3 linked regions of the Pelodiscus sinensis genome follow. The protein of the gene in region 1 interacts with the protein of each later gene in a pairwise test. Links are inferred from orthologs where the notes say so. Each region holds a gene or a part of one and is shown on either strand. Other genes may lie near its edges.

Region 1 (3,940 bases):
CTAGTCAATTGGGCAGTTTTTAGTGGTCTTCAGTACTGTCTGGTCAGTCTCCCCCCTGCATCTTTTAAACACATTAAAATGTAGCTACAAACCCATGCTTTCTGATGTAAACAATTACTGTAATTGGTAGAGACATAACTGCAAATGGAAGGGAAAAACATCTGCATGATTATGAATAAGCAGAAAGGTGAATACTTGAAACAATGTCCCCCTTTACAAACTGTTAGAGTACCCAATTTCTAAGAGTTACCAAGGATTGTTCCTTTTTAACACCAGAGAACTGGGCTTGACAATGAGTACACAGAAGGATCTAGTGGACAGTTCACTGAACTAGAAGCTTGGAGACCTTCGCTCTCTTGAGAGTTGGGCAAATCATTCTTCCTTTCTCCCACAGTCCCATCCTTCCCCATCTGTAAAGTGGGATAAAGATTACCCTTCTTTTCATTCATAGACCTTTAATTTTTGCAAAGTACTACATAATTTCTAGGTATTGTCTCGGATAATTATTTTCAAACATGGAAGCAGCTACTACCATGCTTCACTGTGGCCTGAGATAAGCTTGCCATAAAAACACTTGGCTACAGAAAGCAATGCTGTTTGGAAGCATTTGAACAGAACCAAGCATTGATACCTTTAGACCCCAGGATGCTTTAGGGACCACACACAGACAGAGATCACTTCGGGGACTATTAACAGCATGCACCTATGAGCCCCCTGGACTCACCTGTTCCTAACCCTCTGTACTGCGCTGTCATTCCCACCCTCCCACTATAGCTCCCCCTTCCTGTCCCACCCCACAGCTCCCCCATCCCTCTGTACTCCTCTCCCATTCCTACCCCTTCAGAGCTGCCCCACCCCTCTCTGTACTTCACCATGCCCACCGCCTACGAGCGCTGGAACTATTTTATAGTGGGGATAGCAACTGACCCAGACTGTAAACCTGGGGTGCTGCAGCCCGCCTAGCCCCGGCTCCCATCCTTCCCAACCCCTATTTCTCCTCAACTCCCCCTCCTCCAGCCCAGGAACCTACTCCCGGGAATTAACCCCTGACAGCCACTCCAACACCCCCTCCTCCAGCACGTACTGACCGACTCCTTGGCTCCGCCCTCCGGCTGGAGGCTGCGCACCTATCTCGGGGGGCGGAACTTAATCGGCCCAAACCCACCTTTCCCCCCACTCCACTGGCTGAGTGGAAGCTTTCAACGCTTGATTGGGCGGCGTTCCGGTCGATCCCCTAACGGCGGCGTGCGATTGGTTGTCCGGCAGGGAGGTCAGAGTGCCCGTTTTGAATAATCGTTCTCCTTGTAGTAAAAGGGCGGTTGCCCATGCCACGTTGCTGCCGGCTGCGGTGCCGGGCCCGGCCTGGAGGCGGGGGGGACTCGGCTAAGTCCGGAAGCGCTCGGCAAAGTCCGGCCGCGGCTTTAAAGGAGTTGAACGGTCCCCGGCTCGCCCCGCGCCAGGCTTGTCGGTGAGCGCGAGGAGCCCTCGGGGGGCCGCGATGCTGGCCGACAGCCTGGTGGAGGAGTTCGAAATCCGCGAGGATGAGCCCTGGTACGACCAGCAGGACCTGCAGCAAGGTGAGCAGCCTGGCTCCGCGCGGAGGATGCCCGCCTGACGCGGGCTCGGGGCTCAAGCGAACGGCTCCCGCTGGGCGAGGCGATGAAGGAGCCTCCTCCGGCGGCGTCTTCAGGGGATGATGGGGGTGGGGGGCGACAGGTAAGTCCCGAGGGGGCGCGGGATGAGGACAGGTAAGTCCCGGTGAGGCGGGCAGTTGGGAAACGTGGCTGGGGGGGGGGGGGGGGGAAGATGTGTGCGCCCGGGCGGGGAGCGACTGAGGGGAGCGAGGCGAGGAAAAGGGCGAGGGCGTGGAGAGGACAGAAGGGCACAGTTGCCCCCCCGGGGCTAGCGCGGGGGTGGGTTATTATTTGGGAGACATCGTTAGGCTGGGGGCGCACGGAAGGAGGCTTTGTGACCATTGACATTGCAAAGCGTTTGCCATCCTGCAGCTTCTGAGGGCACCGGGGATTTAACCAAGAACAGCAATTCCCTGGGAGGCGCAATGGTATCGTGCGAGGTTTTTGGGCCGTACGGACTTGTGCAAAACGAACCCTGCGAGTGGCTTCGTGTACCTGGCTTCGGAGCTGGTTCTTCCCTTAACTTTGTTCGCGTCCTGCGTGTGCCACTCCGTGAAAAGCTGCACCTCTTGGCGTAAAGCAGCTTGGGAATGGGAGTGCTTTCGCTGCAGTGCTTGCTTAAAATAGAGCGGCTGAATACTCCTTAGGGGCTTCCACACCCTGCAACCGCCTTCTGCTTGTCTGTAATTAAAGGGCTAAACACTAGAGCACATCTGACGAAGTGGGTCTTTGCCCACGAAAGCTTATGCTCCTACACTTACTTCAGTTAGTCTATAAGGTGCCACAGGACTCCTTGTCGCTTTTGCAGATTCAGACTAACACAGCTACCCCTCTGATACTAGAGCACAATAAAGGTGTTAAGTGGGCTAGTCTTTTGTTAGTCTTTAACTAAAAGAAACTTAAAAACAAAACAAAGCAATGGTCCTACAAGGACCATTGTTAACTTTATTGTGGATAGAGGGTCATTTACTGCTCTCAACTCCTCCTTACACAGGTCCTGTTTACAATTTACTGTGAAAATTTATTGACTAATTCCAATATATGTGTGCTTCTCTTAATACTATAATAATTATGTAGCTCTTATAGGATACAGTTACACCACAGGACAAAGTCAAATTAAGATATGCAACTTCAGTTATGTTAATTATATAGCTGAAGTCAAAGTACCTTATTTCAGCTTTTGGTACTGTTTACACTGCAGGAAGTTGAAGGGAGAGCACTCTCCCTTCAACTTCCCTTACTCCTGGTGAAAGCAGGACTACCGGTATGGACCAGAGTGCCCCTCTCAGTTTGAATTAGCTGTCTTAACTACACTCTCTAATTCAAACCCTGGAAGAACGAGAGCTGGAGCTTCAATCTTCCTCTGTAGTGTACATGTACCCATAGTGCTTTTTCATCAGTAGGTTTCCATGTAACTTTATAAAGCTGGTTTGAGACATAGTAGTATAGAGTAGTGTATGCAGTAAAATGTATGGCATTATCAATTTTCTGAACCTCCAGTAGGCTTTAATTGGAATGCATTTAGAACAAACTATTTTGGGTTTAGCACTATTTAAAATTGGTATTTTAGTCTTATTTTTAAATAAGCTATTTATGTTCTTAAATGGTCAGTTCAGAACTGGAAACTCAGAGAAGGGGCTTCCTCAAAACTAGATTTAATTAAAACTTGGTTTCTCTAAGCTATTCCTCATTTAAGCTCTTTGAGGTTGGGACAGTTCTTTTGTTTTGGTTGTACATTGGCAAGCACAGTGGGATCCTGATACATGACTAGGGTTGATAGAGCCTATTGCATTATAAAGAATAGAAGTAGAAAAAAAAATCATGTTTTTCATACTAAAGTCAAGTAGTTAACAATAAAAATTCCATCTCTGCTAACTGTTGAATAGCTGTACAGCAGTTTTCAGCAGTTTTCATAGATTGTAACTTAACAGGATCGCATACCCATGAATAGTTTGCTGTTGTCTGGAAAAACTGGTGAACCATCTAACATTATTTTCTAATGATTTAGACTTTTTTTCCAATCCATTGTAAAGCTGTCACTATTCAGAGACAAACCTGTCTCTGTGAATCACCTAGCTTCCTCATGAAATGTACAGATCCTTTGGGCTGATCTGAATGAAAATAAATGGAATAACCTTTAGTTGGATTTCTTTTTATTATAATTATTATTCTTTGTATCAAACTGTTATTTTGTGTTGTGCTTAAAAGTTCTACCTCCCAAATGGGACATTTCTTTGATGGTTATGAGATTCTCATATGTCAAATAGAATTATATACGTATTCTCTTATTAAAAAAAGGCCTAAGT
Region 2 (3,600 bases), on another chromosome or scaffold:
GCCCTTTTCCGGAGGGTCTTATTCCTACTTCAAAGGGCACTTTTTCCGGAGGATCAGGGCCAATCTAGACGCTCTTTTCCGGCTTTTTTAAAAGCCGGAAAAAAGCGGCGGACATTTTTATTTAAATGCCGTGGGGGATATTTAAATCCCCCGCGGATTTCCCTACGACGACTAGTGAAATTTACATGCCCCTTCCGGAAAAGGGGCCAGTGTAGACGTAGCCCAAGTGAATACAGCTTTGGAAGAACCAAATATAGATCCTCAAAAAATACCCCAGTTCAACCTATGAGTCATCCATCCCACAAATACACACCTCAGACCACTTCTCACAAGTTACCTTTTTCCGGCGCTCTTCTTTAGCAGATTTCAAATCATCACTTCTCTCTCTGATCTTATTCATATTGGACTCTTTGGTCAGTCTCAGCTCCCTGAGTTCGTCAGCGAGCAATTCTCGTTCTTCGTACAAAAGTTTCCTAAGTTGTTCTCGCCTCTGATCCAGGTTGATTTTTTTTTCTTCCTTTATTTTCTGACGGTGATATGCGTTCATGCTAACAGAGAAACACAACAGAAGGAAGCATCAAGCCCAAGGTAAGCTAGTTAGCAAAATCCAGACAGAGGGCAGTGGAGGCATGTGTTAGTCTAATGATACAGGCAACTGGCTGTTCCAAATATTCCCAGTTTACCAGACTAAGACTGTACCTGCCAGTGCCCATTGGCTCCCATACATTTGCATGCTCACTTACAAGACACTGTGCCCTTATTACAAAAAGTAGATGATGGTGATACCCCATGGTCTGGTATCAGAGGGCCCAGAACACAAACCAAAGAGCCAAAACATTTGTGATGGTGATCCTCTGCTGTCCACCCTCCTCCCCACAGGGTCAGCCTTACCCGTATGCAGAATATGCATCTGTGTAGGGCAGTGTTTCTCAACCTTTTTTGTATAAAGTACCCCCTTAAAAAAAAGTATCCTCCAGTACCTACAGTTTTCAGACAAACAAAATTTTTTTCTACCATTGCAACACATTTCTTTAAACAACTTAATTGTAGCCGGGCAGGAGATGACATTTTTGAGTGTAAAAAGTTCAAAAATAATAAAGTGCTGTAAATCTTAAAACAAAAATTCAGTTTTCTCCACATTTCAGTTGTGTTGACGTACCCCCCAGATTGCTCTCAAATACCGTGGTACTCGTACTACTGGTTGAGAAACACTGGTATAGGGCACCTGAAAAATTGGGGCACCTCTGGGTCCTAATGTCTACCCACCTGCCTCTTCCTATCCCTGTTCCATGGCTTCACTTCTTCCAGAGAGGTTTTAGTTAACTTACAAAAGCCTGCCAGAGCTATCAGCAGAACCTCAAACCTGTGAAAGAGCCATTCAAGTGGTAACAAAGCCATTTAACAGGCATTTGTCAACTCTGGGTACATACTGTCAAGTTCTAGATTTACTGTGCGAGTCAACAGGACCCTAGTTTAAAAATCTGCTTTAAAACTAGACATATTAAAAAAAAAATCTGCTTAATGGGGTAATCGTTTAACTGCTGAAAAACTAAGCAGGTTCATGATTACCCAAGCAGCGGGCTCTGAAGTATAAAGCTTAGCTTAGTTTATTCAGAGCTTGATGCTTAATCCTTCCTTCTGTTGTGTTTTATAGCTTTATACTGCAGAGCCCACAGCAAAGCATCCTTGGGAGCAGGACCGCCAGCCCCTGCTAGCCTAACTCCGGGGGAGAAGGCTTCGCTGTGTGTAACTGACACTGGTAACCAATAAGCATCTGCTTATTAGTTAAAGAGTTAGTTTTAAATAGGAGTGTTTGAGTGTAAACCACTATTGCACTAGTGTGCTGCTGAAGAGTTTAAAACCACCACCCCCATGACATTGGGGGCAGTGGCCACAGTTTGACAATACTGTGCAGGGCCCATACACTCTAAGGGCCCTCCTCCCTCCCCACTGTTACCTTTGCTGGTAGGACTGCCGCGAGCCCCACTGGTTCTGCTTGGAGCTGCAGACTCCAGACTGCTGGAAATAGCGGCTGTGCAGCTCCCATTGCTGCCGCCAGCGGGCCTCCTGCTCTCGCTGGCGCACGATCCGCTTCTCCAGGGCACTGCTGTGACTGGGCCAGGCGGAGGGCAGCGTGGGCAGTGCCATCTGTGCGACAGAGCGGGGGAGCCACCGGGACCCTGCCTTGGGCACACGCGCCACAGCAGCTCCCTGTAACCTGAGAAGCCCCCAGGAGAGATTCAGGTGCCACCCAGCTGATCAGCAGAGCGCCCACACACGGCAGCCTGTTTCTGCTGGTGGTGCACATCCGCGCGTCCCCCCTGTGCACAGAACAAAACTTATTCCGCACATGGATACAAAACCTCAGGGGGCACCTTGCTCCCCGCACCGCCCCCACGACCGGCCCCGGCAACCCCAACGAGTCCTTCCGGCGGTGGCGGCCCCAGGGCAAATCCCCCCACTCTCCACCCACCCGAGCGGCCATTACCGAGAGGGGCTTCCCTCTGGACGGATAGCTCCGCGAGGAGGCTGTAACGGCTTCGCCACTTCCGGGTTCCGCCGCGCAACACCATGGCAACGCTTCCGGGAGGGGCTACGGGCCCCTGGGAGGGACACGCCGCCCCTGCTCGCGAGCCAGAAAAGGAGACCGAGCCTTCTCCGCAGTTCGCCCCGCCCCGCCCCTTGTGTTTCCCCATATGGCCTCGTGCAAACCCCGTGCGTTTGCACGGAGACCCGTCGTGCGCACCCTCCTCAGTGCCATGTGGGGCTCACACGGGCGCCGTGCACCTTCACTCTGCACGGCTTTGCGCTGCCACCAGCAGACACCCCCTCTGAAAAGCTGCCCTAGGGTGCGCAGGGGCAGGTTAGCGAGGCATGTGACGGCCTCACTAACCAGTCCCTGGTACTTGTAATGGCCCTGCCTTGCAGTGGACGCTGTGTAAGACACTCAGGGGACAAGAACCTAGTCCCGTGGCACCTTCGAAACTAGCAAATCTACATGTGTAGTAGGGGGTGAGCAGTTATGGTTAGGGGCACTGTAGAAGGCTGTGATTTAGTTGGAAATGGGGTTAGAAGGAAGAGAGAGGGGCTATACTGGGATGAGAAGAGTGCTCCAGAGGGTCTGAGCAGTAGGAGAATGCTAGTGTCTTCTTTGAACACTATGCAATCAGTGGGTCAGTGAAAGGTTCACTGTGAAGGGAGCACTGGGACATGGGCAAACCCTAACTCCAGCTCTAGGTGATCACGACAAGGTTAGGATTGAGTCTCCAGGAATCCTGACCTTGTTGGGATTGCAAGGACTCTGCCACGCAGAAGGGTGGAAGGGGAGTACTAGAAGTTCATCAGGCCTCTGGGTAAAGGAAGTGAGATCAGGGAATCAGATCATTTAATTAGCTCATTTTACCAGAGAGCTGTGTCTAGACTGGCCAGTTTTTCCAGAAAATTAGCCGCTTTTCTGGAAAAACTTGCCAGCTGTCTACACTGGCCGCTTGAATTTCCGCAAAAGCACTGACTTCCTACTGTAAGAAATCAGTGCTTTTTGCGGAAATACTATGCTGCTCCCATTCGGGCAAAAGTCCCTTTTGCGCTGTTGCCTGCAGA
Region 3 (3,600 bases), on another chromosome or scaffold:
TGTGCTGCAGGGGTGTGTTGGGCAGCTCAAGGGGGGTTCCCCAGAGGGACACCAGGGGGCGCTGTGCTGCTGGGAGTGGTGGGAGGGGCTCAGGTCACCCAGCGGCTCTGGGAATGGAACCCGGGTGTCCTGCCTTCCAGCTCAGTGCCCATTGCTGAGCCCGCCCCTTGTTTACTGGGGCCTGTCAGAAGCTCCGGGGTGGGGACTGGGCAGCACGTTACCCAATCTGACCCCTCCCCACACTCAGCACCCCCCAGAACTCTGGTAGCAGGAGGGAGCAGGGTGGTCGCACAGGGGAGGATGCTGCCCCTCCCACACCGTGCGGGCGCCGGCCCTGCTCCGGGTCAATGGCAGGAGAAAGCTGCCTGCCCCGGGGCAGCTCAGGGCTGGTGAGTCTCGAGTACTGAGTTGATCAGGGTGAAGAGAGAGTGCCCCCCACCAGCCTCTGGGGATCCCTCACCTGGTGCTGAGATGCAGCCACCTCTGGGGTGGGGCGCAGGGGCTGTTCAGCAGACATCCATGTATGAACGTCCCAGTTTTGGGGCCTGGAGGCTCTGCCCTGGGGTGTTTTTAGGGGGAGCTTGGCCCCTGTCAGGGGGCCCAGTGTGCAGCATTTGGGGGCAGCAGCGCCAGGGCGTGTGGTTTGGGATGACTCAAGAGATGGTCTGGGAAGCTTCTGGGGGGTGGGGGTGTATGGTCCCTGGAGATTGGAGCACAGGGGGTCTCCCTGGGGGCATGTGCGAGTCAGTCCCAAGCTCAGCCTGGCTCTGGGGGGCTCTCACTCCCGTTAACCCCTTGGGCCCAGGCCGGGCGGGGGCGGGTCCAGCAGCGCTCGGGTGGCGGGAGGCAGTGCTGTGAGGTGCAGGAAGGGGAAGTGGTTTTGTGATATGGTGGGGGGGGCTAGACTCCGAACAACAGGAGGGGGGTGTCGCCCAGCTCAGACCCAAGGACGGACGGGGCCTGGCCTGGCCTGGATCCCCCCGGGCCAGGATGTCGGAGTCAGACTCCTGCTCTGAGCAAGATCTGGAGGTACCTGGCTGGGTGGGGGCCCCACGGGGATGTGAATTGCCCCAGCCCGCTGCTCTGGCACAGTGGAGACAGGGACGGTGGCCCAGCCATGGCAAAGGGCCGGTGGGGTTGGGGGGGGACTCACAGGGAGGGCTGGTGCTGCCTGCAGAGACTGGGGGGCGCAGGGGAATCAGCTGGTCCTAGAGCTCTGCATGGCAGGGCGCTGGGCGGGCCTGAGAACCGGGGTGGGGCTGGTGCACCATGCAGGGGGCAGAGTACGTTTCCTTCCCCGCCATGGCTGCTGCTGCGCCAGCTGCCTGCAAGCTGCCGAGGGGGAGGGGCAGAGAGGAAGGGACGGTTCAACTCCCATCTAGGCCCCCCTGACATCTTCTAGCCAGCCCCCCTCCCCCGAGCCAGGGCGGCTCCCCGGGGTGACGTTAACCAAGGCGCCTCGTCCCGGGGGTGCGGGCGGTGGAAATCTGCCAGGCCTGCAAGGGGAGCCGGGAGCTCATGGGGCTCCCTGGGAACATCCTGGAGGCAGATTTCCAGCCCCCGGACTCCTCCCCAGAGATCCTGGCCCAGCCCGGAGTGTGGGGATGCTGGTGCTGTCCTCATTCAGTAGGGCCCCCGTTGGGATCACCCCGCCCCAGTGCCCCGTCATGGTGCCAGAGGCTGCTCCGAGCCCGACAGGCATCGCCCTGCTCCCATTGGGCCAGGCACTGCCAACCCGACTGGGATTCCCCCTCCTCCTCCCTGGGGAAGAGACCCGGGTTGGTCTCCCAGTTCCCGGATGGGGGAGCCGAGGCCCAGGGCTGCTGTGGCTGGATCTCGTGCCCGCTGGGCTCTAGGATGAGTGGCCAAGCATGCCCCAGCTGGGGCACTTCGGGGCTGAGCGCTGGGAGTGCAGCCTGTCTGTAGAGGAGCCAGTCAGCCCCAAGCTCCCTGCCCTCCGTGAGCTCGGCAGCCCATGAGGGTCTGACCAGGGACAGATGCACCCAGATCAGCCCCGAACTACCAGCCCTGCCTGCTGGGCACAGAGGGCCAGCCCCTTGCGCCCTTCCGGTGTGCCAGCTGCATTCCCTTGATGTGGTGGCTGCATCACGTTCGCTCCTCCGGCTGAGCCCTGTCCGGGAACCCCTAGCCCCTTTCCCAGCCAGGGCAGGGGGCTAGGATGGGGGAGTCCATCCGCATGGGGGGAAGTGAGGGGTCAGTGCGCCAGCAGAGGCATGGTTCAGGAGAGGCAGGTGGGGGGCCAGGGAAGGAGCTGTAGGGGCAGTTGTAAAGGTGGCTGTCAAGGGGCTGTTGGGGGGCAGCTATAGAGGGGGGTGGCAGAGAGGGACTATTGGGGAGCACCAAGGGGGCTGGCAGGAGGCCTCTGAGGATGTGGGTGGCAGGGAGGAGGCCAGCAGGGGGTAGCCGAGGAGGAGGGCACGAGGGGGCAGCTGAGGAGGAGGCCGGAGGGGGGCAGCGGAGGAGGCGGGCAGGGCTGGGCGCTGCAGGGCCCCCTCACCTGCTCTCTCCCCTGCAGGGCGAGCAGGTCTGGTCGGTGCTGGAGCAGCTGGCCTTGGAGCCCAGCCCCGACCTGGCGGCCAGCAGCGTGCAGCAGCGGCTGGACGAGGAGAAGGAGCGGATCCGGCGCGAGATCCGCAAGGAGCTGAAGATTAAGGAGGGGGCGGAGAACCTGCGCCGGGCCACCACCGACCGTCGCAACCTGGCCAGCGTGGAGAGCCTGCTGCGCGGCTCCGACCGCAAACTGCACCAGCTGCACTGCCAGCTGCAGCACCTGGACGCCCACATCATGGTCAAGGAGCCGGAGGAGAGTGGAGGTCAGGGGGCGGGAGACGGGGGGCGGTGCTGGGCGGGCAGGGAGCAGGGTTCACTGCTGGCGGACCCCAGCGGGGTCACACGGGGCAAGGAGGGGGGTCCATGCCAGTGGACCCAGCCCGGCGGCTCAGGGCTCCGTGCGCTAGGGGGTCTTGAGATGCTGCTAGCTCAGGGCTGTCCGTCCTGGAGGACAGAGGTGCCTGGGGCTGGGACAGACAGACTCCCAGAGGGGTGCCTGGGGCGGGGCACTGCTCTTCCTCCTGTGCTGCAATGCAAGAAGCAGAAAGGGAGCCACAAGGCAGCAGGTGCTAAATAGCACCCAGACGAGTCTCCATCAGCCCTGGCAGCAGTAACCAGCGGAACTCCTCGCCACTAGGTCTTGGTGAGGCCAAGAGTTAGGCAGAATTCAAACAGGCGGCGGGTGGGGGAAGGGGGGTTGTCTGGGGTCTGGGGTGGGAAAGGAGGCTCTGAACACCCACAGAGTGGGCAAGGAGCCCCCACTCTGGGTTCTGGGGTCAGAGTGTCAGTGCTCGTGCCAAGAGGCAGCTCTTCATCCAACTCGCCAGCTGTCGGGGCAGGAGGGCCCAGCCCTGGGAGTGGATTCCTCCATCTTTGGTGGTAGCAGGCAGCCTCCACCCTCAGAGACTGGATACCGGGAGAGGTGGGCCCATAGAACTGCTCTGCCATGGGGATCCGGGCTGCACGGCAGAGCTGGCCCCATGGAGGGCTGGGGGCAGTGCAGGCCCTGGGGCTCACAGACCCAGCTCC

The links. The genes of interacting proteins can lie anywhere in the genome.
Region 2: the proteins of CDR2 (region 1) and TCHP interact in binary tests that used the Homo sapiens proteins (3 or more experiments, as listed by UniProt). The two-hybrid records come from large-scale screens. The link is inferred for Pelodiscus sinensis from reciprocal best matches to the Homo sapiens genes CDR2 and TCHP.
Region 3: the proteins of CDR2 (region 1) and PKN1 interact in binary tests that used the Homo sapiens proteins (3 or more experiments, as listed by UniProt). The link is inferred for Pelodiscus sinensis from reciprocal best matches to the Homo sapiens genes CDR2 and PKN1.

Annotation. Positions count from the first base shown.
Region 1 is NC_134726.1:22,798,651-22,802,590, reverse strand, and holds the start of CDR2 (cerebellar degeneration-related protein 2), read left to right. Parts: upstream 1-1,316; 5' UTR 1,317-1,498; coding exon 1,499-1,577; intron 1,578-3,940.
Region 2 is NC_134725.1:37,852,041-37,855,640, reverse strand, and holds the start of TCHP (trichoplein keratin filament-binding protein), read right to left. Parts: upstream 2,641-3,600; 5' UTR 2,489-2,640; intron 2,219-2,488; 5' UTR 2,149-2,218; coding exon 1,958-2,148; intron 549-1,957; coding exon 338-548; intron 1-337. UniProt on the Homo sapiens protein: Tumor suppressor which has the ability to inhibit cell growth and be pro-apoptotic during cell stress. Inhibits cell growth in bladder and prostate cancer cells by a down-regulation of HSPB1 by inhibiting its phosphorylation.
Region 3 is NC_134729.1:10,472,440-10,476,039, forward strand, and holds the start of PKN1 (serine/threonine-protein kinase N1), read left to right. Parts: upstream 1-873; 5' UTR 874-990; coding exon 991-1,029; intron 1,030-2,536; coding exon 2,537-2,834; intron 2,835-3,600. UniProt on the Homo sapiens protein: PKC-related serine/threonine-protein kinase involved in various processes such as regulation of the intermediate filaments of the actin cytoskeleton, cell migration, tumor cell invasion and transcription regulation.